3 linked regions of the Alligator mississippiensis genome follow. The protein of the gene in region 1 interacts with the protein of each later gene in a pairwise test. Links are inferred from orthologs where the notes say so. Each region holds a gene or a part of one and is shown in the gene's direction. Other genes may lie near its edges.

Region 1 (7,488 bases):
CCAGCTGGAACCTGTGCCCCATCCACCCTCTGGCGGTGGACGTGACCAAGCCCAAGTCCCCTTGATCCATGCGATGAAGGAATGGTTCCAGTTCTGGCTGCAGTGGGGCCAGGGGACCGTGAGCAAAGAGGCCTCCCTGGAGCCGTGAGACCTCAGGGTGAGCTGGGGTGAGGGATGCCCTAGCAGCGGGGCTGGTAGCCCTGGGGTTGAGATCATGGGGTGAGGGGAGACACAAGTATTACCTGGAGCAGGCGGAAGTACGCTGGGGTTAAGAGTCGGAGCCGCATGATCACAGCTCGGCATACGCAGGCTGGGCCTCTGCTCCCACTGGCTTCCTGGCAGCGATAGGGAGACGGCCAGCACTGAAAGACCAGGTGGGCTGGGCTGGTGCCGCAGGGGCAGAGCACGGTCTGGGCCCGCTGACAGCACCCAGATGTCGGCCGGCAGCAGCTACTTCCCCCTGTCCCTGGCTCAAACATCAGCTCTACGGGTGCTTGTGGGACCCAGCCCTGCGTGCTTGGGTGCCCCCGCCAGCCCCGACACCGTCCCTTCCACCGCAGGCCATGGCTAACGGCTGTTTTTAAGCTGGGCGTGTGGGGAGCCCAATCCCCCGCCCCATCTCCATTCCCTGCTGCTTGTGGCCAGGGGGCTGCAATTCCTCCCCCTCAGGGAAACAGGCCGGAACGGATATATCGCTCACCTGTAATACTGGACCCTGCTCCCTGCGTGCCAGGCGGCAGGAGTGCCAGGGCGCCCAGGCAGCTGTGCTGGGAGCTGTTAAATATCCGCCTTCCCTCTGCACGCATGCACATGCGCCACCCCCATGCCGATCCCGACTGCGGCCAGCCCCGGGAGCAGCTGTCACAGGAGATCAGCGCTCGCTGCTCCATCAAGCGCATGGGAGACGCGGGAGGGGTGCATCTGCAGGGCAAGGGGCGTTGTAACGGGTGGGGCTCTGGGTATGTTGGTCTGGGGTCACTTCCAGTCTCTTCTGCAGAAGGCCCGGGCCTCAGGGCAGGGCACCGGGCATGAGCGAGTGGTTGGGTTAAAGCAGGGGTTCTGCTGACTCCGGGTTCCCCCCAGAAAATGCCAACTCTTGGCTCTTGCTCATTTGTTGACTGCAGACAAATTAGCCGCGATTCTTCCATTGCAAAGAACTCGGCAAGCCCGTGGCAGGGAAGGACGTTTTAAACGCTACAGGTTCCCATGTGAAATCTCTACGTATATTGCACGAATCATGTATGCACGCCCAACCGTGCTGATGTCAGCCCCGCTTGAAAGGGTCTCAAGGCACCCCAGGGTGCTGCAGCCTGCCCTGCCTGAGAGTCGCTGGGTTAAAGGATGGGGATCCGGAGAAACCAGGACGACTGTACCAACAGGGGAAGGCCTCCCCTGCTGCATTGTGGGAAAGATGCCCTCCTGGGAGGATGCTGTGGCTCAAGCACTGGGCTGAGCCTCCAGGAGGCTGGGTCTGTCGTGGGATGTGGAGCAAATGACGTGGCTGCCTTGAGCCTCCACTTCCTCATCTGCAAAATGGGAACAATGGCCCTTGTTGTCTTCCTGGGGGACAATGGCTAGAGCATGAGGCAGGCAGGGATGGTACAAGAGGCAGGTGCGGCACAGCCTTCAGCCCCATGGCGGGGGGGCCAGTCCAGCAGCTGGAGCCTGTCACAGCTGGTGCTGGCCCCCAGGGAGTGCCGCGTCCACGCACCTTGCTGTCAGGGACCGGAGCCATCTTCCAGGGCCTGCCAAGCACTTGGCAGGTGGGCAGATTTGCATCCCCAGCCTGCCTGGGAGGTGAAGCAGAGAAGGGGAAACTGAGGCACACAGTGATGCTCCAGCCAAATTCACATCACCAGGGCAGGCCCAGGTCCAGCTGCGCCCCTGATGTGCCACCCAGGCCCTAGACAATATGCACCCCCTGCCCCCTCCCAGCTTTCGCTAACTCCCATTGCAGCAGCACCCAGGCAGAGGAGGGGTTGAGCGCGTGTCCTGGTGCAGAGGGTAGGTGTGCTTACCCTGGGCTGTGAGCGCGCTTATCCTGGGTTAAAGTCACAGGCTGCTCGGGCCTTAACCCGGTTTAGCTGCGTGAGCTCAGTGCTGGCTCCGCTCGGCGTCAACACGAGCTGGTACCGCGGGTCTCCCGTTCTCCCTGCCGCATTCGCTTGCCCGAGCTGGCAGCCCCCAGGGACCCCGCACGAGGGGAGACCACTCCTTTCCAGTGGCAGGGACCCGCTCCGGGCGTCAGAGTGCATGCTGGAGCCCCGGGTCCAGCCCAACCCTGCAGCCAGGGGAGCCGAGGGACCATGTGAGTCTGAGCAATTTTTGGGTCAGCTTCTCCGGCTCCGAGTCACAGCCCCTTGGGAAGGCTGGCAGCCACGTGCTGCAAGGCAGCTTCCCCTGGGATGCAATGGGGGCACCGTGGACTGGGCGCCCCTGCTCCCAGGGAAGCAAAGGGCTGGAGCCAGGAGCATGTCCAGCGTCTGGCACAGAAACGAATCCTCTGGGTGCAGCGCAGCCTCCACAGGGGCTTTTATCTCAGCCCGGGCCCTGAAGGCAGACTTGCCAGGCTGGGGAGAGGCTGGCTGGGAACCACGGCACGCAAGTGTGTGCATATGTGTGTGGAGAGAGCTTGGCTGTGTTTTGGTAGTGTGTGTGTGTAATAGTGAGGGAGACTCTGGTTGTGTTTTGGTGCTCTGTGTGTGATAGTGAGAGACTGAGACTGTATTTTGATGCTCTGAGTGTGTGAGTGGGAGAGAAAGTTTGTGACTGTGTTTTGGTTGTGTGCGTGCATGCACACGTGTGTGTACTCTGGTGCAGACCACATTGGTGGGGCTCCATCACGCTTCAGAGCCTGAGAGCAGCCACAGGCCATTCTCCAGGAGAAATCAAAAGCGTTTGCAGCCGGGTCTTGTGACGGTGCAAGAAGCAGTGACCGGCCGGGCCGGGGGTGTCGGTCAGAGAGGGGCACAAAGCATTCACAGCCCCGGGCATCGGCTGTGGACCCGTCTTCCAGAGCTAGAGCAGACCCTCCGCAGGAAACTCTTTGAGCAAGCCTTCCTGCCCACAAGCCAACCACCGCTCCCTCCAGTACCCTCACTTGCCTCAGTTTTCCCAGCTCTAAAATGGGGATAAGGATCCTGTCCGCCTTCAGGCAGCTTTTCACCAGTGCAGAGGGCTGTGGAAGAGCTGGGTGGCCTATCACTGCTCTTACATAGGAGGTACTTGACTCACACGGCGGCAGGCAAGAGGCTGACACCCTGGCAATGTGCAGCACCCAAAACACTGACTAATGCCCAGGAAATCCTGGAGGATGACAACAACATCCCGGCCTGCTGTGATGCAACGGGGCTGGGGCTGCGCGCCGATGAGACGGGAGGTGCGCGTGGGCTGCAGGAACGAGGCGTTCCCGAATGCCAGGCCCCGCTTTTCACGTCGGGGCAAACCGTTCCCAGCGTGAAGTCAGCCCAGACCTGTTTGCTGCCACGGGGTGAGTCAGGCCACCGTGTTTGGCTGCTGTCATAGCAGCGCTTATTAATAGCGCCGTGTGCTTCTACCACACCTTCCTGCCGACCCGCCGCGCCGTGCAGAGGTGGCACCCCAGCCCTGCCGTGCCACTGGTCCTGGGGGAGGTGTCCCCCGACCCCCTTGCTTCTGGCCTCTGGATCGCTGAGCATTCACAGCCCCCACCTTCCCTGCCAGTGCCGGGCGGACCCAGGGGTGCACTTGCACCCCCCACCCCCCTTGATTCCTGCTCCGCCCAAAGGTTACAAGCAGGCGCCTGGGAGGCCGTGGCGCGTCTAGCCAGGCCACGCGGAGGCAGTCGTTTGGTTTTGTGGCTTGTCGTCATCTCCCCGATGCCCAGGGTAGTCTACCCAGACCTGCTCTGGGCACCGGGCCGTGCCAGGGGCCTGGCTGGGGGCTCTTGCCTGTCCGCTCGGGGGCAGGCCGCTCTCTATACCGGGGGTCCAGAAGGAAAGTCCCCCCGTGGTCGGACGGGTACGGACTGGGGCGGTTGCCCCCGTACCTGGGGGGCACGGCCTGTCCCCAGGATGTCGCGGGGGTGCACTGGCAGCGTTGGCAGACGCAGGACGTGGGCTGCCGCGGTTCCCCTCCTTCGCTGCGGCACCGTGGGCGCGAGGTGTGTCGTACCAGGGTGACCGTCCTCTTACGCAGTTTGGAAGACGATGAGGACTGGACTAGAAATGACCTCCGGATCTCCCTTCCAGCCCGTTCCCGCCGTCTCCAGCCACCCGCGGCCGGCCCATGTTACAGGTGGGAACACTGAGGCCGAGAGGTGGGAGTGTCGGGGCGTGGGGGGGGCTCAGGGCCCCGGGCGGGGCCGTCCCGGGCGCAGCGCCTCCCCGGGGAGGGCCCCGATCCCGATCCCCACCCGGGGCGGGCTTCCCGGCTGAGTGGCAGGCGGCTGCGCCAACCCCGCCCGGCTGCCAGGTACCTGCGGGCTCAGGTGCGCGGCCGGGCCGGGCCGGGCTGTTCCGGGCATGGAGCCGGTGGGCGCCTGGAGCCCGGCGCGGGTGGCACGGTGGCTGAGGGGTGAGCACGGCAAGGTGGGGAGGGGTCGGGCCGGGCAGGAGCGGGGGGCGGGGGGCACCGCTGGCGCCTGCCCCCCGGTGGTGGTGGGGGCGAGGGTGCGGGAGCCCCGGGGCACGGCGACCCCGTCCGTGCGCTGCACTCGCCCCGCGGGGCAGCCTGGTGCCACCGCCCGGCTGCGCGCTGCCCCCGCGGCGGCGCGGGGCCGGGGTCCCGCCGCCTAACACCGCCCTGCTCGTGTCCGGGGGGAAAGAAAGGACAGGTTCGCCGACCGGCCGGGGCTTGGGGGGCTCGGCTGGCTTCACCTCTGAGCGGGTATTGCCCAGGCTTCTGGGCTTCCCCCGCACCCTGTCTGCTAGGTGTGTCCGGGAGTTTTCTGCTTCCTTCGGAGGCGCTGGGTGTTGGCTGCAGCCCAGGCTGGGGACTTTGGCTGCTGGGACCGGAGCTGGAGGGTCCTGGCTGGAGGGTCTTGCCCCTCCGCTCCGGGTCGGACCAGCGCTGCATTGGGGGCAGGAAGGAATTCCCTCCATGGTCAGATGGGTACAGCCTGGAGCGGGGGGTTTGCTTCCTCCGCTTCTCCCCGGGACCTTTTGAGTATCTATTGACATGGTTTCATAGCATAGATTCATAGATGCTAGGGTCGGAAGGGACCTCAATAGATCATCGAGTCCGACCCCCTGCATAGGCAGGAAAGAGTGCTGGGTCTAGATGACCCCAGCTAGATACTCGTCTAACCTCCTCTTGAAGACCCCCAGGGTAGGGGAGAGCACCACCTCCCTTGGGAGCCTGTTCCAGACCTTGGCCACTCCAACTGTGAAGTTCTTCCTAATGTCCAGTCTAAATCTGCTCTCTGCTAGCTTGTGGCCATTGTTTCTTGTAACCCCCGGGGCGCCTTGGTGAATAAATACTCACCAATTCCCTTCTGTGCCCCCGTGATGAACTTATAGGCAGCCACAAGGTCGCCTCTCAACCTTCTCTTGCGGAGGCTGAAGAGGTCCAGGTTCTCTAGTCTCTCCTCGTAGGGCTTGGTCTGCAGGCCCTTAACCATACGAGTGGCCCTTCTCTGGACCCTCTCCAGGTTATCCACATCCCTCTTGGAGTACTGCGTGCAATTCTGGGCACCGCACTTGAACTGCGGTCTGACCAGCGCCCGATAGAGGGGAAGTATCACCTCGTTGGACCTATTCGTCATGCATCTGCTGATGCACGATAAAGTGCCATTGGCTTTTCTGATGGCTTCGTCACACTGACGACTCATGTTCATCTTGGAGTCCACTAGGACTCCAAGATCCCTTTCCACCTCTGTGCCACCCAGCAGGTCATTCCCTAGGCTGTAGGTGTGCTGGACATTTTTCCTCCCTAGGTGCAGCACTTTGCATTTCTCCTTGTTGAACTGCATTCTGTTGTTTTCCGCCCATATGTCCAACCTGTCCAGGTCTGCCTGCAGCTGTTCCCTGCCCTCCGGCGTGTCCACTTCTCCCCACAGTTTTGTGTCATCCGCAAACTTGGACAGAGTACACTTCACTCCCACGTCCAAGTTGCTGATGAAGACATTAAAGAGTATCGGTCCAAGGACCGAGCCCTGTGGGACCCCACTGCCCACACCCTTCCAGGTCGAGACCGACCCATCCACCACGACTCTCTGGGTGCGACCCTCCAGCCAATTCGCCACCCACCGGACTGTGTAGTCATCCACATCACAGCCTCTTAGCTTGTTCACTAGTATGGGGTGGGATACCGTATCGAAGGCCTTCCTGAAGTCTAAGTATACGACATCCACCCCTCCTCCTGTGTCCAGGCATTTTGTAACCTGGTCTTAAAAAGAGACTAGATTAGTCAGGCATGATCTGCCTGCCACAGACCCGTGCTGGTTTCCCCTCAGCATAATTTGTCCTGCCGGGCTCTCGCAAATGTGAGCCTTGATAATTTTTTCAAAGACTTTGCGAAGGATGGAGGTGAGACTGACTGGCCTATAGTTGCCCGGGTCCTCCTTCCTCCCCTTCTTGAAAATGGGGACCACATTGGCCCTTTTCCAGTCCTCCGGGACCTGGCCTGTGCGCCACGAGCGTTCAAATATTCCTGCCAGTGGCTCTGCAATGATGTCGGCCAGTGCCTTCAGCACCCTCGGATGGAGCTCATCCGGGCCTGCCGACTTAAATGCATCCAGTTCCTCCAAGTGACTCTGCACCATCTCAGGGTCTACGCATGGCAGTCTGGCGCCTTGCTGCTGCCTCTCTACAACCCCAGTGAGAGACTTGTCGTGTCCCTCGCTTAGGAACACTGAGGCAAAGAACTCGTTGAGGAGTTCAGCCTTGTCCCCCCTGTCCGTCACCAATTGTTTCTGCCCATTTAGCAGCGGTCCTATTCCTCCCTGGGCCTTCCTTTTGCTCCCTATATATCTAAAAAACAATTTCTTGTTATCCTTTACTTGGGATGCCATCCTCAGCTCCATGGTAGCTTTGGCCCATCTAACTGCCTCCCTACAAGCACAAGCAGAGGAGGTATACTCCTCTTTGGTGATCTCTCCCTGTTTCCACTTTTTATGTGCCCCCCTTTTGGCCCGCAGGCTGCCCTGGATTTCTCTGGTCAGCCAAGGAAGCCTCCTGGCCCCTTTCCTTCTTTTTCCTCGCATCGGGATCGTCTCCCTTTGTGCCTGAAGGATCGTTTCCTTAAGGCACAGCCACCCTTCCTGGGCTCCCATCTCTTCAAAACTCCTACTCTGCAGTGCGTCCTTGACTAATCGCCTGAGCTCATTGAGATCAGCTTTCCTAAAGTCCAGTGCTTTCACCCTACTAGTTACCTTACCCACTCGACGTCTTATGGTGCATTCTATTATTAGGTGATCACTGTCCCCCAGGTGACCACCGATCCGTAGGTCCCCTACCATGTCGTCCCCCGTTGCCAGTACCAGTCCAGTAAGGCATTCCCCTTAGTGGG
Region 2 (7,487 bases), on another chromosome or scaffold:
CTGAGATATGCCAATGGTCCTGCTGGGATTTAGAAAAGGTGGAGGTTCTTGGCTAAGGTCTTGCTCCTCCACTCAGGGTCAGTCCAGCTGCTATATTTGGGATCAGGGAGGAATTCCCCCCCTATCCCCATGGTCATATCAGCATAGACTGATTTCCTCTGTAGCGGGGGACATGGTCTTCTTCTTTGAATCCATCAAACTTGTTTTAACAAACTGCTTCCTGTCCTTGCAGTGCCAGGCACTGGTGATGTGTAGGGGGTGCAGGAGTGCCGTGAGTGTGGCAGTGCACCCCTTGCAAAAAGGCACTGCCGACACTGCCAGCAGCATCTGCGGGCGGTGGCCACTCGCCACTGCCCCCCTGCTGCTGACACCGCCTGCAGGTGGTCTGTGATGGGCACTGGCTGCCACTGCTGGCAGTGTCTGCAGGTGGTTGCTAACCACTGGTCGGCAGTCACCAGCCCTCTCCCTTGCCACCGACAGCACCACAGCCGCCTGTGGAAGCTCCCCACTTGCTGCTGCCATGGTCCTGCTGCCACCTGCAGGAGCTTGTTGTGCCTCCCCAGCCTCCAGGGGCACGCAGCGTTCATGGTGCCAGAGCATTAATAGAGACCTCATTCCCCTGCTTTACCAGTAGCAAGTTACTATGTGTTTGGTTTTTTTTTTTAAATGCCCAATGTTTTTGGGCATTGTGGTTGGTAGTTGTGCAAGAAGGTTGTTTATGCAGTTTTAGGGATAGGTTAGACAAACACTTGTATAGGTTTAGATGGGAATGATCCTACCTTTAGGAGAGGGTAGGACTAGATCAGGGGTTGCCAACCTGTGGCACAAGTGCCAAAAATGGCACAGGCAGCCTGTATGTGTGACATGCAGCAGATCAGAGAGGGGACAGCCAGCACAGCAGCAGATAGGGCAGGGAGCATAAGGCAAAACAGGAGATCAGGCAGGAACCACAGGACAGGAAGCAGAAAGTAGAGCAGCAAATTGAACAGAGGAAGGGGATTGGAGAGGCACGTGGGGAAGGGTGTAGGGCTAATTTGTGTTATGCCTGCTAAAATAGTTGACCCCCACTGAACTAGATGACTTCTTGAAGTCCAAGTTCTCTATGATTCTATGGTATAAATGGTGCATGTGTCGCATATTAGCTCTCTAACTGGGAGTATCACATCAAGTAACATCTGGCCTGTAATGGAAAAAATATTAGATGGCAAATTACTACTTAATGAAAATTGTTAAGCAAAATAGCGGTGATAAATGAACAAAAAAGACAAAATTGAACCAAACCTAAAAAAGAAAGTAAGACAAACTGGATTGCCTCAAACCCAACAAATACCTGTCTGTCAACAATTAATAGGACTAACTGTGCCAACTTCAAAGTTCCTGGAAGATTTTTAGCTGTCCTAAAGATTAAGGCAATTCAATAAAAGATATTTTTTTACACTGAATAGCAGGTTCTGAAATTCTAAGAGCATAACATATAATATGTCTGAATCCAAAATTAATTAAATATGAAAATGTGAGAAAAATGAGACATAACTTGATAGAGGAAAGTATAAAGAACACGCAGCCTTTAGAAAGCTGATTTAAAACAACAATACAGTGTAAAGGGAAACAGTGCACCTGGGAAATCAGGGTCCAAAATATAATACTCACCAGGGCTCCAGAAGAGAAACCTGATCCTGTTCTATTTGCAGAATAATTAATTTTGAATATAAAGTGGATATTAAAGAGGCACTCATCTCTGTGGGTAAAATGATACAAAGATGAAAATGACAGTTGGAGAAAACAGATTTATAATGGAATAAAAAAAACGGACTAAAAGGTACATTACAGCTGAGCAGTATGAATCCCATTTGACACATATGGAAGGTAAGGTAGAGAAGCAAAGGGTTTGATCTTAATAAATTCTATAAATTCTTACACACACACACACTCTCTCTCTCTCTCTCTCTCTCTCACTACTATGTAAAGATTAACTGGAATAATCCTGTAAGTAGAACCTGAACTGAAGTCAGGGAATTTTATACAGTACAAACTTTGATTTCTAGCCCTAACTAATTGCAAAACATCTCTTTACTGTAGTATCTAAGCACTTCCTAATGGAAAAATATATTTTTCAGTTGCTGTTTGCACCATTGAAGTCAATGGGAGTTTTTCCATTGAATGAGTTGGAGGGAGGACTCTGTTGTGGTTTGATTTTTCTTACATTTTTTTTGCATTGGAGTTTAACTTGGAACAAAAAGGAATAATAATTTTAAGTTCAACTGAAAAAGCACAGAGGAAAAAACTAGTGACAAACAAAAGCAGTAATACAAGATAATGCATCTAGGCAGGCACTGCAATAGAGGTGAAATGAAAAGCCAATAATCTGTGTACAGTCAAATTTTAATTTTGCTCAATTGTATTAAAACCTGATTACTATATTGTTAAATATGCACCTTTTAAACATCTCCTTTCTTCTACTACTGTACTGTGTAATCATGTTATTGTTTCTATGTGGAAGGTAATAAATACATGTAATACAATTTAATTAAGAAAATAAAATAAGAGGACTATTTTAAAGGGTGGATGAGATTTACATGATTTCTCACAGAGCAAAAAAGTTTCCTGTGCAGAGGTTACTTGAGCCAAACACTAGGGACAGGTACAGACATTACACTTGAACAGCATAAGTCATGAGAAACGGGTCTATACCTGTAACAGAACAGAAATTCGGCACATATAGATGGATTAAAAATGGCAGAACCAGATCTATGATTTGCCAATCCCACCAAAGGGCAAACATGTTCTGTTTGCTACCAATCTAAACTACGCTGCTTACAGAAAACTGCGTAATTTAGACCAATTCCACCTTGGACTTTTTTGAACCTAGCCTGAGTCTCAGCAAAACTGATTATACCATAATTACCACCTCTAAGCAGTGGTGTTACAAGGTGGGTGGCACTGATACAACTTCCTGTGCTCTAACCTGACCAACACCAGGTCATGTTAATGTAAGTTAATTTTCCTATATTATAGGAAATAATTTATTATAGAAGATAATTATAGTGGCACACACCTCATATTGTAGGAAAATTAAATAATGCATATTCCTCATTGCTGACCCCTTCCTTCCCACACCTTCTTCTCTGTATAAAATATTGACATCAAATGATTAAGAGTAAAATAACAAAAGAGACTTTATTCTATTCTCTATTGTGTGGATGCTTCTGTTCACCGGTGTGGGTTTGGATACTGTCACCCCAGCTCCTTCAAAAGGTCTGAGGTCCTGAAAGCAGCACTATGGGCCTGACAAATCCCATAAAAAGGATTCTGAGGTGAGCATGTCACATGCGCAGTACAGACAACCCTCACTTAGCGCTCTTACTTGGTTCCTGAAAAACTGAGCATCAAATGAAACGAGTGTTAAGTATTTGACTACCCAAGACGGAGACCACAATTGTTTTTAATGACCTAAGATGGTGACCACGAGCATTATGACGAAACTTGCAGAGCGCTAAGTGAAATCAGGTATCAATTTAAAATGAGCGTTATAATGAAATAGCATTAAGTGAAACAGCGTTAAATGGGGGTTGCCTGTATGTAAACTTACTATGAAAAACGCGTCTCCCTGACACTCTTGGGTGCTCGTGGAGAAGCGGATATTTAGCCCCCATACAGTGTTGAACGGGGGGGGGTCTCAGCAAATGTACAAACATGAGGGGGCCACGAAGCAGCCCAGACTGACCGCAGTGGTTTCAGGGGGCTGCAGAAAGGACCTGCAGCCTTGAACAATGCGTGCCCCCGAGGCCTGGGGGGGACACAGCGACCAGCTACCGGCGGTGGCAGCGGTGTTGGCAGTGGAGCACTCTCACAGGCGGTCATGGTGGTGTCAGCGGTGGGGAAGGTGGTGAGAGCTGACCAGCGATCGAGGACCTCCCACAGACGCCACCCGCAGCGTGGATGGCGAGGGGTGCGAGGTGTCGGCCCACGACCGCAGGGGGTGCGCTGCCAGTCTCAGGGGGTGCACGTGCACCTGCGGCGCCAATGCCTGCAGCTATGGCTCGCGGCCCGCTGCACTGCCAACCCAGTTGCCCGTTTTCCCAGTTGGGTCGGTGGCGAGCGATAAAACCCTGGGAAGAACCGGCAAGGGGCGCGCTACCCAGCGCAGGCCCCGTCCCCTGGCAAGTGGCCCCCCAGCCCCTGCTCTGCAGCCGCCCTGCCCGCAGGCCCGCTGCCCCACAGCCCCGCTGCCCCTCGCGGCCCCTCGGCTCGTGTGCGCAGCCAAGGCCGGGCGCTGCCTCCGCGGCTCGGGGCCGGGCGCCAGTGTGCGGACGCGGCGCCACACGGCACTGTTTGCCCGGGGCTGCCACAACGCGGCGCGGCTCGGCGCGGCGAGGGTGCCCGTGTCCCGCGCGTCTCGGGCCGCCCGGCGGCGCCAGGAGCGGCGGCTCGGTCCCTCCCCGCGCGGTCACATGAGGGCGGGGGCGGATCGCGGGGCGGCGGCTGGGGCTGGGGTTGTCGCTGGCGGCGGGCGGCGGACGGCGCCGAGGGACGCAGCGCCCGGCATGGACGAGGAGGGCGGCGGAGGAGGCGGTGAGTGGCGGGGCCGGGCCGGTGCGCAGGCCGCGGGCAGGGGCCGGGGCCCTCGCCTCGCCTCGCCGCTGCCACCGCCTGCCCCGAGCCCAGCCTGCCCGTGTGCCTCCCCTGCGCACGGTCTCCCTCAGCCGCCGCCCCGGCTCCCCTCACGCGTCTCCCCGCGTGGCTGTGGGCACGAAGCGGCCAAGCGCTGTGGGAGGAGACGCGTGGCAGCGGGGTCCCGGGTGGCGGCTCCTGCCATCGCGGGTGCGGGGGCGGCTGGGCCGGGGACGGCTGGAGGCTCTTGGCCCCCTTGACTCCCTCGCCCCCCACAAAGGTCAGGCATTTCTGAGGGAGGGGGGAAAAACGAAGCCACATTTGCTCAGGGAAGTGCTGGGAAAGAAAAGTGCTGGTGTTGCAAAGAGCCTGAAGAAAGGAAGAGAGGCAGCCTGTGTCGGGTACGAGCGGAGGGACAGAAGCAGTCGGTGTGTTTGTCTACAGATGGCCGAGCGGTGCAGTCGACTTGCCCCCGCGGTGTCACGCTGACAGCCGGGCGCTTGTTCTCACAATGAAACCCTTGCGCTTTCTCTAGGTATCTGCTGCTCCCGGCAAAAACGATGTGTACCTTGCAGCAAATGTACAGTCAAGAGGATAATTATGTTCTGCAACAGCTTCGTGTTTGTGTGTGTCATCCTAGTGTAGAAGCGATGGTAATCACTGAGTGGTTCTTCCAGTTTAAACAGGGTAGATGATTTCAAGACACAGTACGCTGGTGTTTCCAAATACACCTTTTAGAAAATAGTGACATAGGTTTTGCAGCATCCTTTAATACAGCTACTGCCTTTCAAGGCTTAAGACTGTGCATCAACACAATTTAAGAAACCTCAAACCAGATTTGCAGAGTTTCTATTTAATTTCAGTGCATTCTGTGTATTTAGCTTTTGTCTGAATTGTCAAATCTTGAATATCAGCAGCAATAAAGATGCTACCTAGGTGTAGTCCAGATCGGTGGTGGTATTCCAAGATGAAGTAGTTCAGTTTAGTTAGAACTCTTGATTAACAACCATCATCTGGTAGGAATGAATGTTTTTGTTTCTTTATAAATATGTGAAGCAGTAGTTAAAAGCAGTATGATTAATACTTCAGCACTGTGGGCATGTCTGCATGAGACATGTTAATGCGCATTAGCCTAAACAGGCATGTATCTACATGTGCATGCCCTTAATGCCCATTAAAAATGGCAAAATTAGGCTAATGCAGGTATCAAATTTAGGTGCTTTTAGTTAAAGCACAGTATGGCACGTATAGACACAACCTGGCACTAACTTTAGTGCCCAGGGCTGCCCAGCCGCTAGGGGCACATGGCAGGGTTGCAGGGACTTGGTGCCAAATGCACCAACTGTAGTGCCTAGTCCTTGCATCTATAGACATGTGCCAAAAATTATTTAATGTGTATTAGCTTAATCTTCATTGAATTTTGTCGCGCTTAAATGCATGTGTAGATGCGCTGTAAAGGTAATAGGATCTGGAATCAAGCGGGTATAGCGAGTGTTTTGATAAGCGGGGAAAAAAATATCTTGATGAATCAGTAGCATCACAGAAAACCATCCTACAAACAGTGTCTGCAAACGTGAATATTCTCATCCATTATTTCTCTTACTTGTTTCGTCAACAATAGATTTAACTTTCCTTAAAAAATGAAAAAGCAAAAAATGCATTAAAAGTGCAGATTGATATTTACTTTGAAAATTTCTAATACCAAACATTCTAATAGTGAACAGCAGAAATAGTAGTAAATAAAATCTTCCTGTTCAAAAAAATTAGTATGCTTATACTATATGATTGAATTTTCACCTGTACTGAGGTTGCATTAATATGCTTATTAATATTGAATATAATTAACTTGATATCTTTCCTTTATTTAAGTTTGTCTCAGCTCAAAAGACATTTCAGTACTGTGGACCAAATGAAAAACTGGTTTCTTAACCCTTGAGTCCAATTCTGTTATATGAAGACAGACCCTTTTTGAGGTTCTGAGCATCCTCATCTCCCACTAAGTCCATTGGCTTTGAAACAGTTAACAGTTTTGTAAAGATTGGGACCTCAAAATGCATGTATTTGTCGCCAAAGCAGTCAAATTCAGTTTTTTCCCCCAGATAACTTGTCACGTCTTTAATAAATAAATAAAAAATCTAGTTGACTATACAGTTACCATCCTTTGGTTGTCTTCATTAGGTTATAGACTAAGTTAACGAAATGGCTGAGGTTTTACAATAAGTTTGTGAACAGTTACATTAGCTTCCTGGGAATATTAAGTAAAAAAAATCACAAGAAAAACAGCATTAGGTCTTTTCTTGCATGATCAATACATTCACTAATACAATATGATAAACTCACTTATTAAAAATAACTCATTTTTGGGAATGACATAGAATGAAAGAAATGGTTTTCTTCTGTCAGTAGAATGCAGGTGAAAAGTAAAGAGTTGTTTTGAAATCTAGTCAGCTTTATGCTGAGTTAACAGTAGTCTTGCCTGGAAGACCCACAAACTGTGTATTAAATTCACAAAGTAAGTGAACTGGAGAGAGTGACTGAATGGTTAGGACATTGGACTGGGATCCAGAAGACACATTTTTGTATGTCACCGGTTTGCTGTGAACTTGGTTCACCTCCTTTTCCTTGTGTTCCTTATCTGTACAGTGGAGGTAGCTCTGCTTATGTCCTTAAAGCATTTTGTAAAATGCTTTAAGATCTGTGGATAAAAGGTTAGAAGTTATTATTTTAAGGAGATTTGATGGAGGAGCAGATGCTAATTCAGGACATGCTCGTTATTTGTTATTATTATTTTTTCTCCATGTAGTTTAAATGTGGGTAAAAAGGTCTATATTATACTTTCTGGTTTCATACAAAACTATTTTGGTGCTTTGATTTGA
Region 3 (7,984 bases), on another chromosome or scaffold:
TTGACACACTTTAACCCAATAATGAGTACTCTCTTCCACGGTACTGTTACAAACCCTTTCTTTTCCAATTTATTATTTACTCATACATCTAGTTCCCACAATCCTTAAGTGGGAATAAACTCTCCACGGTAAGCTTTGAGTGGTATCTGTTTATCTCCTCCTATCGGTGCCTTTTTTTAGAATTGCTAACGGTGTTTCTCACAACTCCTTGACTTGTGAACCAGTGTCCAATTTAAAGGTAATAAGTGCCTTGTTTGCTTTCAGGTTTGTAGTCCCCTCATCTTGTGCTGCAGCCCTATCTACCACTCTTGTGAGAAATTCATATGAGCTAGAGAGGACACTCCTTTTGTCCATGCTGCATGTTCTTTGCTGGCCTACCATACTCTTGAAAAGGGCTGTAACCTGTTGCAGATTTTTTCCATCTCCTCCCATTTGCTGAGCATTGCTGTGGCTTGAGCAGGTTGCTGCAGCATGTTCAGTTCCTCATGCTGCTGTTCATGCTGGTCTCTGACTTTTGAGTTCCCTGTGTTTTTCTGCTTCACATCTCTTTTTTGTGGTATTTTGGAATCTCCATCATATTGCACTGTCCACACTCTGCACGCCTCATTCTGGACAAGGTGATTCCCATTCCTGGCAACCTTAAGCTCTTTGCTAGGAGTTCATTGTGGGCCTTCCAGGAATCCCTTTCTGATTTTTTTTTTTTTTTTGTTCAAAATCCCAATGTAGTTATCCCTGCAAAAATTGCAACAACTTTGGCCTCAGATTACCCCACTACAGTTTCACATTCCTGTTGTCCTCTCTGATAAAAGCCACATTGTTAGTATGTTTCTTTTTTACTTGGAGTACAGTAATCCTCAAATTTCTGCACTCCAGTTTCATAGTTAGGTCTCTGCCTGAGTTAATTGAAAACTATTAAGCACATCAAGGACCGTTGCCAAAAATAAGTCTTCCCCTTTACAGTCATCCACTGCTTCTGGGGCAGAGTAACGTGCTGTTTGAACTTCTTCCAGGGGCCTTCCACATTTCCAAAGACTATCAGCAATTTGGGACCAATAATATATATATTATCAACGTATTTTTTCCCTTTTGGTGCCATGTGGTGTTCAGGCATCACTCTGAGACAAAGCAGGTTGTGGCATCAGCTTTGTTTGTGGTCTCAGCTGCAGCTGCCTTATAAAAAATAGGCTCCTACACCCCCTCCCCAAACTTCCTGTCTTGGATGCCAAACCACATAAGGACACAATTTCCAGTGCCACACTCGCTAGTATGTGCTAGACGTCTAGCTGCATTATAAAGACACCACATGGTTCCACAAAACAGATGATCTTCTATCTTAGAGCTTAAGCCTGGAATAGTAGAACATACATAGAATTTCTCCCCTTGTAGGTAGTGGTCAATGTCCCTTTTTATATATTTTTGTTAAAATTTATGTCCATATAACCTGCTGTTGTGGTTCAGTGGTAAAACCCTTGTTCTGTCATGCAGGAGACCTGGGTTTGGTTTCCCAGATGTGCATGTAACTACAGTCATTGAGGTTCCAGATTTGGTCTGGCCTTTGGATACTGTCTAAAGGGGGATGGAAGGTCTAGACAGCTTCGACTTCTCCATACTCCTGCCTAGGTGTATGCATCAAAGGTCCTGATGACATCTCATGCGTACACCATGGTTTAGAAGGATTGACAGTTGTTTACTATTGCTATGCCTGTATAGAAGGGACGTGGTGATTAGTGAGCGCACCTGCTCTTTTGGGTTGGGTCAGGAGCCAGGAGTGCGTAGCAGAAGGTGCTGTAGAGCCAGAGTGAGGTGTATTGGCCAATAAGGCAGTGCGAAATTTTGCCACCAGTTTTGTTTTGACTCTGTTTCGACCTGTTTTGAGGTTGAAACAGCAACATCAAAATGAAACAGATACGGCCAAAACAGCTTTGAAATGAAATGAGGCAAGTCAAAACGTTTTGCTGTTTCGATGCTGTTTCAACGTTTCGCCCATAGGCTATAATGGGGAAGGTCAAAACAGCCTATAGTTTTGCCATGTCTAGCCAGATTTGGATAAAACTTGCAGAAATGGTAGCTTCTTCTGAGGGCATAAAGAGTTCCAAGTTTCAAGAAGATAGGTGCAGGGAGATTGGAGAAACTGCACCCCAAAATCCTGAGCCAAATGTGTCCTCTGTATGTGTTAAGCCACAGGAGGGTCAAAACTACAGGAATGCTAGCCCCTGCTGAGGCCAGAAAGCCTGCTGTGTTTCAAGGAGATAGGTGCAGGGGGTTCAGAGAAACTGCACCCCTAAATCCTGAAAGCAAAACTCATGTCACATGTATATGTTAAGCCACAGCAGGGTCAAAACTGCAGGCTTGCTAGCCCCTGCTGAGGCCACAAAGCCTGCCAAGTTTCAAGGAGATAAGTGCAGGGGTTTGGGGGAAGCTGTAACTCAAAGCTGCAGACAAGCAAAACTCGTGACATGGGTGACACTGTGTGTGTTAGGGCACAGCAGGGTGAAAGCTGCAGGGGTGGTAGCCCCTGCTGCAGCCACGACACCTGCCAGCTGTCAAGGAAATCAGTGCAGGGGGTTTCTGGGGCCCTGCACCTCTAGCTGCTGACAGGCAAAACTTGTGAAATGGGTGCTTGTGCAACTGACTGAGTCTGTCTTGGGGCCGTTGATTGTATGTATTGATTATTTCCTCTCCTTAGTCTGTGGTTTTGTAGGTGTTAATCCATGCTTGTTAAGTTGTTATGTAGTAGCTAGGTCCTGTGTATTGAGCTAGTCCCTGAGTGAATCATGATTAATTGGTAACTGGTAACACAGTAGCTTAGCAGCCAGGCCTGCAGTAGTCCCTCCCCCACCCTCCAGTGCCCGAAGACAGACACAGGTGCACAAGCACCCATGTCACGAGTTTTGCTTATCCACAGCTTGAGGTGCAGTTTTCCCTAAAGCCCTGCACTTATCACAGGGGTGGGCAATTATTTTGGGCAGAGGGCCACTTACTGAGTTTTGGCAAGCCATCAAGGGCTATATGACAGGCAGCTCAGGGCAGATTAATATTAATTTTCTAAATTTTTTAGGGGCCCTGCAGGCCAGATAGAATGGCCTGGCGGGCTGCATCCGGACCCCAGGCCACATTTTGCCCACCTCTGACTTATCTTCTTGAAATCTGCCATGTTCTGTGGCCTGAGCAGGGGCCACCACCCCTGCAGTTTTCAGCCCGCTGTGCCTTAACACACATAGGGTTATCTATATCACGAGTTTTGCCTGTCAGCAGCTTGAGGTGCAGTTTCCCCCAAGCCCCTGCACCTATCACCTTGAAACTTGGCAGGATTTGTGGCCTTACCAGGGGCTACCACCCCTACAGTTTTGACTCCACTGTGGCTTAACACATACATGTGACATGAGCTTTCCTTTCAAGAATTTGGGGTGCAGTTTTCCCCAAAGCCCTGCACCAATCTTCTTAAAACTTAGCAGGCTCTGTAGTCTCAGAAGGGGCTAGCAAGCCTGCAGTTTTGACCCCGCTGTGTCTTAACACATACACATGACACAAGTTTTACTTTCAGGATTTTGGGGTGCATTTTCTCTGAACCCCATGTACCTATCTTCTTGAAACTTAGCATGCGTCATGCCCTCAGAAGATACTACTATTCTTGCAAGTTTCATCCAAATCTGGCCAGAAATCACAAAATTGTAGCCTGTTTCAACCTTCCCCATTATATCCTATGGGCGAAACATCGAAACAGGGTCAAAACAGCAAAACGTTTCGACGGAACGAAATGGAACTGCCATTTCAACTCAAAATAAAAGTCAAAATGAAACACTGTTCTGTCAAAACATTGGTCAAGATGAAATGTTTCTGCTTCACACAGCCCTATTGGCCAATATGTCAAGACTGGAATAACAATGGGTGCTACATGCCACAATTGAAATGCATCAGGGTGGGGTATCCAGTCCTGGGGTGGCGTGGTATGGTTTCCTGAAAGTGAGCAGTGAATTCTTCAGTAGAGCTGTGTTGGGATCACGGTACTGGAACAGTAAGCTGTACACCAGGACAAAGACAGGGAAATGTGTGAGATACAGGTTTGGAGAGTGAGGGATTCAGTCGGTATAAATGAGGTCTGTCAGCAGAGCTCTCTATATGACTGGATTGATGGAGAAATCAGGAGGTCAAGACTGATCAGTGCATTGCTTGATCTATATGGGTCCCCTGCAGGGTTGTTCTGTTGGATCTCCTCTCACCTGAGGGACCTATAAATGGTAGCTTACACTGGACAACGTTTTTCACCCCCCTCCGAAAGGAAATTTGTAGCCATCTTCCTTGCAAGACAACCTTGACTATGGAATCTGAAGGGTGAAGACTGGTTGCTGATTCATCCTAAAGACCACAAGCTATTCACAGTCTTCCCTAGGGCTGCCTGGCTATGGTCTTCAGGATGCCAGTCACTCACAATCATAGAGTGTTTGATTCTTGGCAGGATGCCAGGCCAGTGTTAGGTTTAGAGGCGGTGGTTATACCATCTTGCTGTGTTGTTGACGGTGTTGGGAGGCTAAACTGGAATGGCCCAGAATGATACAGAGCAGGGTGCTGCTGCATTGTCAAAGCAGTGGGAGTCTTGCCAGGCCCATGCCCATTGGGCATGGAAAAGTGGCATCCTCTCAACATTTGCAGCTGTAATTTGGACAAGGGGAAAGCTTTGTGCCCAGACAGCCATACTCCTCATGTGCTAGATTTTTCTTAGTCTGTGCTGATTCTTTGCCCTGCTGATTTGGAAAGGGGGATCTCAAGGTGTGCACGCCAGCTGCTGAGCTTTCTGTGTGGGCATGAAGGCCCCTCCTGCAGAAGTTATGAGGGCTGTCACGTACAAAAGACCACGGACATAGCAACCAAGAGTGATTAGCTTAAGGGGAAGTGTGCAGCCTTCCGGGGCTGGAGAGAGAGGAAGAGAGTAAGTGACAGAGAGACTGACTGCTCTGCCAGCTAAAGCCCTCTATTTTTCATCAGAGCAGACATAGCTCGGGTCAGGTCAGTGCCAGCTCCCTCCATACTGGGACACTCCCTCCATACTGGGACAACTCTAGGCTCGATCCACTCCTTCCTGATGATGCTAGTCAGAAGAGAACGCATTTGAGATGGGAGTAAAGGATCCAGGTCATGTCATTTCATTGGCAACAGGAACCTACTGGAGGCCCACACAAATATTGGAATATTCATCCACTCTCTACCAATTGCTGAGCTACTTTGAGTTGTGGTAGGGGGGGAGTCTTTCTCCATCATAAAACCACACCCTAAGGCAGCTGTTTTATGCTCCCTCTGTCTCTAGAGCAGGCTGGATAAAACCAGAGCACAGTCACCCCCAGCAATGAGCTGAGCGAGTGCCAATGGAAAGACACACTGGCTTTCTCTTGTGGGTTTTTATGTAAGAAGTAACCGGAGTCTGCGTGCTTCTAACAGTCGGAGCTTGTAGTTTCCCTCACCCATATGAGCTTGTGGGGAGGAACCAGGGGGTGGAGCCGCAGCTCCTCCAGCTGACACAATTTTAGACTCTGGGGTGAAGTCGCATTAATTCTGCCAGACGCCTGAAAGAGCAGCGGGGAAAGAGGAACTCGCAGTCGCACAAAGAGAATTTGCCTCTGAGTGACATTTCAGCATGGATGTTTGTCCCATTGGTAAGTCTTTCCTTAAAGAGATTTGGCCACATCTTCTCCCTGCCTTGTTGATCAAAGTGCTGCTCATTCTGTAAATGCTGTCAGGTCAGATTGACTCAATTAGGGCTAGCAGCTGCCATGGGGATGGGACGGGTGAACATAGCCAAGAGGTTTCTTAGAAGCTCTGCAAAGGGCTTGTAGTTTTGTGGACGATGTGCTATAGGGAGAGGTGTCTTCTCTGTCGAGGTATTGGCTTCCCCCCCTACCTCCAGACAGTTCCTCCCTGACGTCAACCAGTGTCACCCTACCGACTTGAATTGGAGCTGGGTCAGAACTGTATTCAGAGGCTGACCCTCAGCCTAGGTAGGTGGCAAAAGGGTAGAGTGCAATTTTCCTGGCCCAAGCTAGGGTATCAGGAGTACGTGGCACTTGGGATGGTGGTCAACATGTGACTACAGACAATGGTTTCCTTTGATGTAGCCTCAGCGTGACAGGAATAGAGGTGCAGAAAGAGCAGACTGCAAATGCTACAACATAGTCCTCCTGCACCAGGCAGGGCTGATTCACCCTTGCACTGCACCCAGCATAGTCATTTCTACCAGGATCAGACCAGTGGACAGTGGCTGTAAATTACCAGTGTCTTCATGTGGTGCAAATCTGCACCGACTGTGCATTGCAAGTGACTACCTGGGGCACAGTAATAATAAATCAGCCCCCCAGAGAGGAGGGTTGTTAGCACCTGATGAAGCAGTCTGTTGCTGACAAATGCTTGTGCTTCTTTGAACCAGTCACTCTCTAGGACAGTGGTTCTGAACCTTTTTAGATTCAAGGACCCCTCAGAAAATGCCAGCTTTGAGCTTTCACTTGTTTTTTAACTACAGAAAAATAATAGAGCAATTCTTCTGTTGCAAAGAACTCAGGAAAACCACAATAGGTCAAAATATCTGTGACACTATGGATTCCTATTTTAAAATCTCTCTGCTCATCCTGTGAAGGTTTTTGCACACCTAACAGTGCTAATATTACATGGCACTGCAGGACACCCTTAAAAGTATATTGCAGTGCTCTGGTTGAGAAACACCAACCTGAAGTGCCACCCTGCCCTGCCTCTACCTGACTTTAGGATAGCACAGCTAAATACTTTTCCACCTGCCCCCACCCCCACCCCAAGAGAAGAAGAAAGATTGATCAGCCTGAATCTCTCGCTTTCCTTGCAGCAGTTGTTTTAGAGGGGTATAGAGAGGCAGAAGTAGGTGGGAGGAAATTAGCCACAAACCCAGGGGCTGAGAAAGATCAAAACTCTTTGATTTCCTGGTTTGCTGGGTGCAGTGCAGCAGACCTGGGATCTAGTAGACAAAGGTGCTCTGGAGGCAATCCCAAAAGGCAGATATTGGGTGTGACCCATGCTGAGAAAGGACATGAGGTTTCAAGGGAGAGGACACACTTTCTCCAGGGGGAAAAATACAAAGGATCTTAACACAAGGACACAGCTGCCATCTGTCTCTGATATCACCTCACATCCACATAGATGGCATAGCTAAGGCCATGAACAAGGAGTGGGAGCTGAAAACCCTCTGGTCCCCACGTCAAATCCTGCACCAAGGGGCCCGATTTCCTTGAAGTTCTCTCAAGCTGTTGCAAGAGAGGCTGGGCACTGAGCGCTTCTCAGTCTCTGGCCACTTCCTTTAGCTGTCTAAAGGGGACTAGAGTTCTTAGGAAAATCAGGCCCTTAGTGCCTGAAAGGAAGTGTTGCAACCAGCTCATAGACTAGCAAAACCAGGGCAGGGAGAGCCCTCACCTCTCTGTACAAAGCAGGGACATATTTTTTTCAGGTTAGTTGTTCAAGGAAAACGTGGCTCTCCAAATGCATTGTCTGCCATGTAAGGGAAGTTGTCCTACTTTTGTGAATAGACAGAATGAGTTCTTTTTACCATTTGGGATTTGTCCTGGAGTGGTGCCCCAGTATCCTGTGATGTTAGGCGCTGTACAAACACAGAACGAGATGATGGACCAGTTGCAGAAGACCTACTTTGAAGCAGTGCAAAAATGCCTAGCTACCCCAGGACCACAGCTAGCCAGCACCACTTCAAAAGCCAGCCTCACTCTCTGTGTCAGAGGCATTGTCTAGGGATCAAGAGATTACATTGATTTGGTGGCTCATTCAGTGATAAAAGCTTGCTGATCCGTAGTTTTTGGAGAAATTGTTCTGCCACCAGTGGGCCTCAGCTTCCATCAGAGTCCATGGCTGAGGTGGAAAGGTAGACACATTCACCTGTGCTGTGGACTTACACTGGGTGTGCTGCTATACAAGAGAACTGTATGCAGATGGAGACGTTGGTTCCGTTAGGTGAGGGAGA

The links. The genes of interacting proteins can lie anywhere in the genome.
Region 2: the proteins of CNKSR1 (region 1) and CYTH3 interact in binary tests that used the Homo sapiens proteins (3 or more experiments, as listed by UniProt). The two-hybrid records come from large-scale screens. The link is inferred for Alligator mississippiensis from reciprocal best matches to the Homo sapiens genes CNKSR1 and CYTH3.
Region 3: the proteins of CNKSR1 (region 1) and CYTH4 interact in binary tests that used the Homo sapiens proteins (3 or more experiments, as listed by UniProt). The two-hybrid records come from large-scale screens. The link is inferred for Alligator mississippiensis from reciprocal best matches to the Homo sapiens genes CNKSR1 and CYTH4.

The regions. Positions count from the first base shown.
Region 1 is NC_081829.1:3,230,122-3,237,609, reverse strand, and holds the start of CNKSR1 (connector enhancer of kinase suppressor of ras 1), read left to right. Parts: upstream 1-4,451; 5' UTR 4,452-4,502; coding exon 4,503-4,554; intron 4,555-7,488. UniProt on the Homo sapiens protein: May function as an adapter protein or regulator of Ras signaling pathways.
Region 2 is NC_081836.1:46,925,446-46,932,932, forward strand, and holds the start of CYTH3 (cytohesin-3), read left to right. Parts: upstream 1-4,470; 5' UTR 4,471-4,544; coding exon 4,545-4,572; intron 4,573-7,487. UniProt on the Homo sapiens protein: Promotes guanine-nucleotide exchange on ARF1 and ARF6. Promotes the activation of ARF factors through replacement of GDP with GTP. Plays a role in the epithelial polarization.
Region 3 is NC_081827.1:100,459,848-100,467,831, reverse strand, and holds the start of CYTH4 (cytohesin-4), read left to right. Parts: upstream 1-4,967; 5' UTR 4,968-5,629; coding exon 5,630-5,648; intron 5,649-7,984. UniProt on the Homo sapiens protein: Promotes guanine-nucleotide exchange on ARF1 and ARF5. Promotes the activation of ARF factors through replacement of GDP with GTP.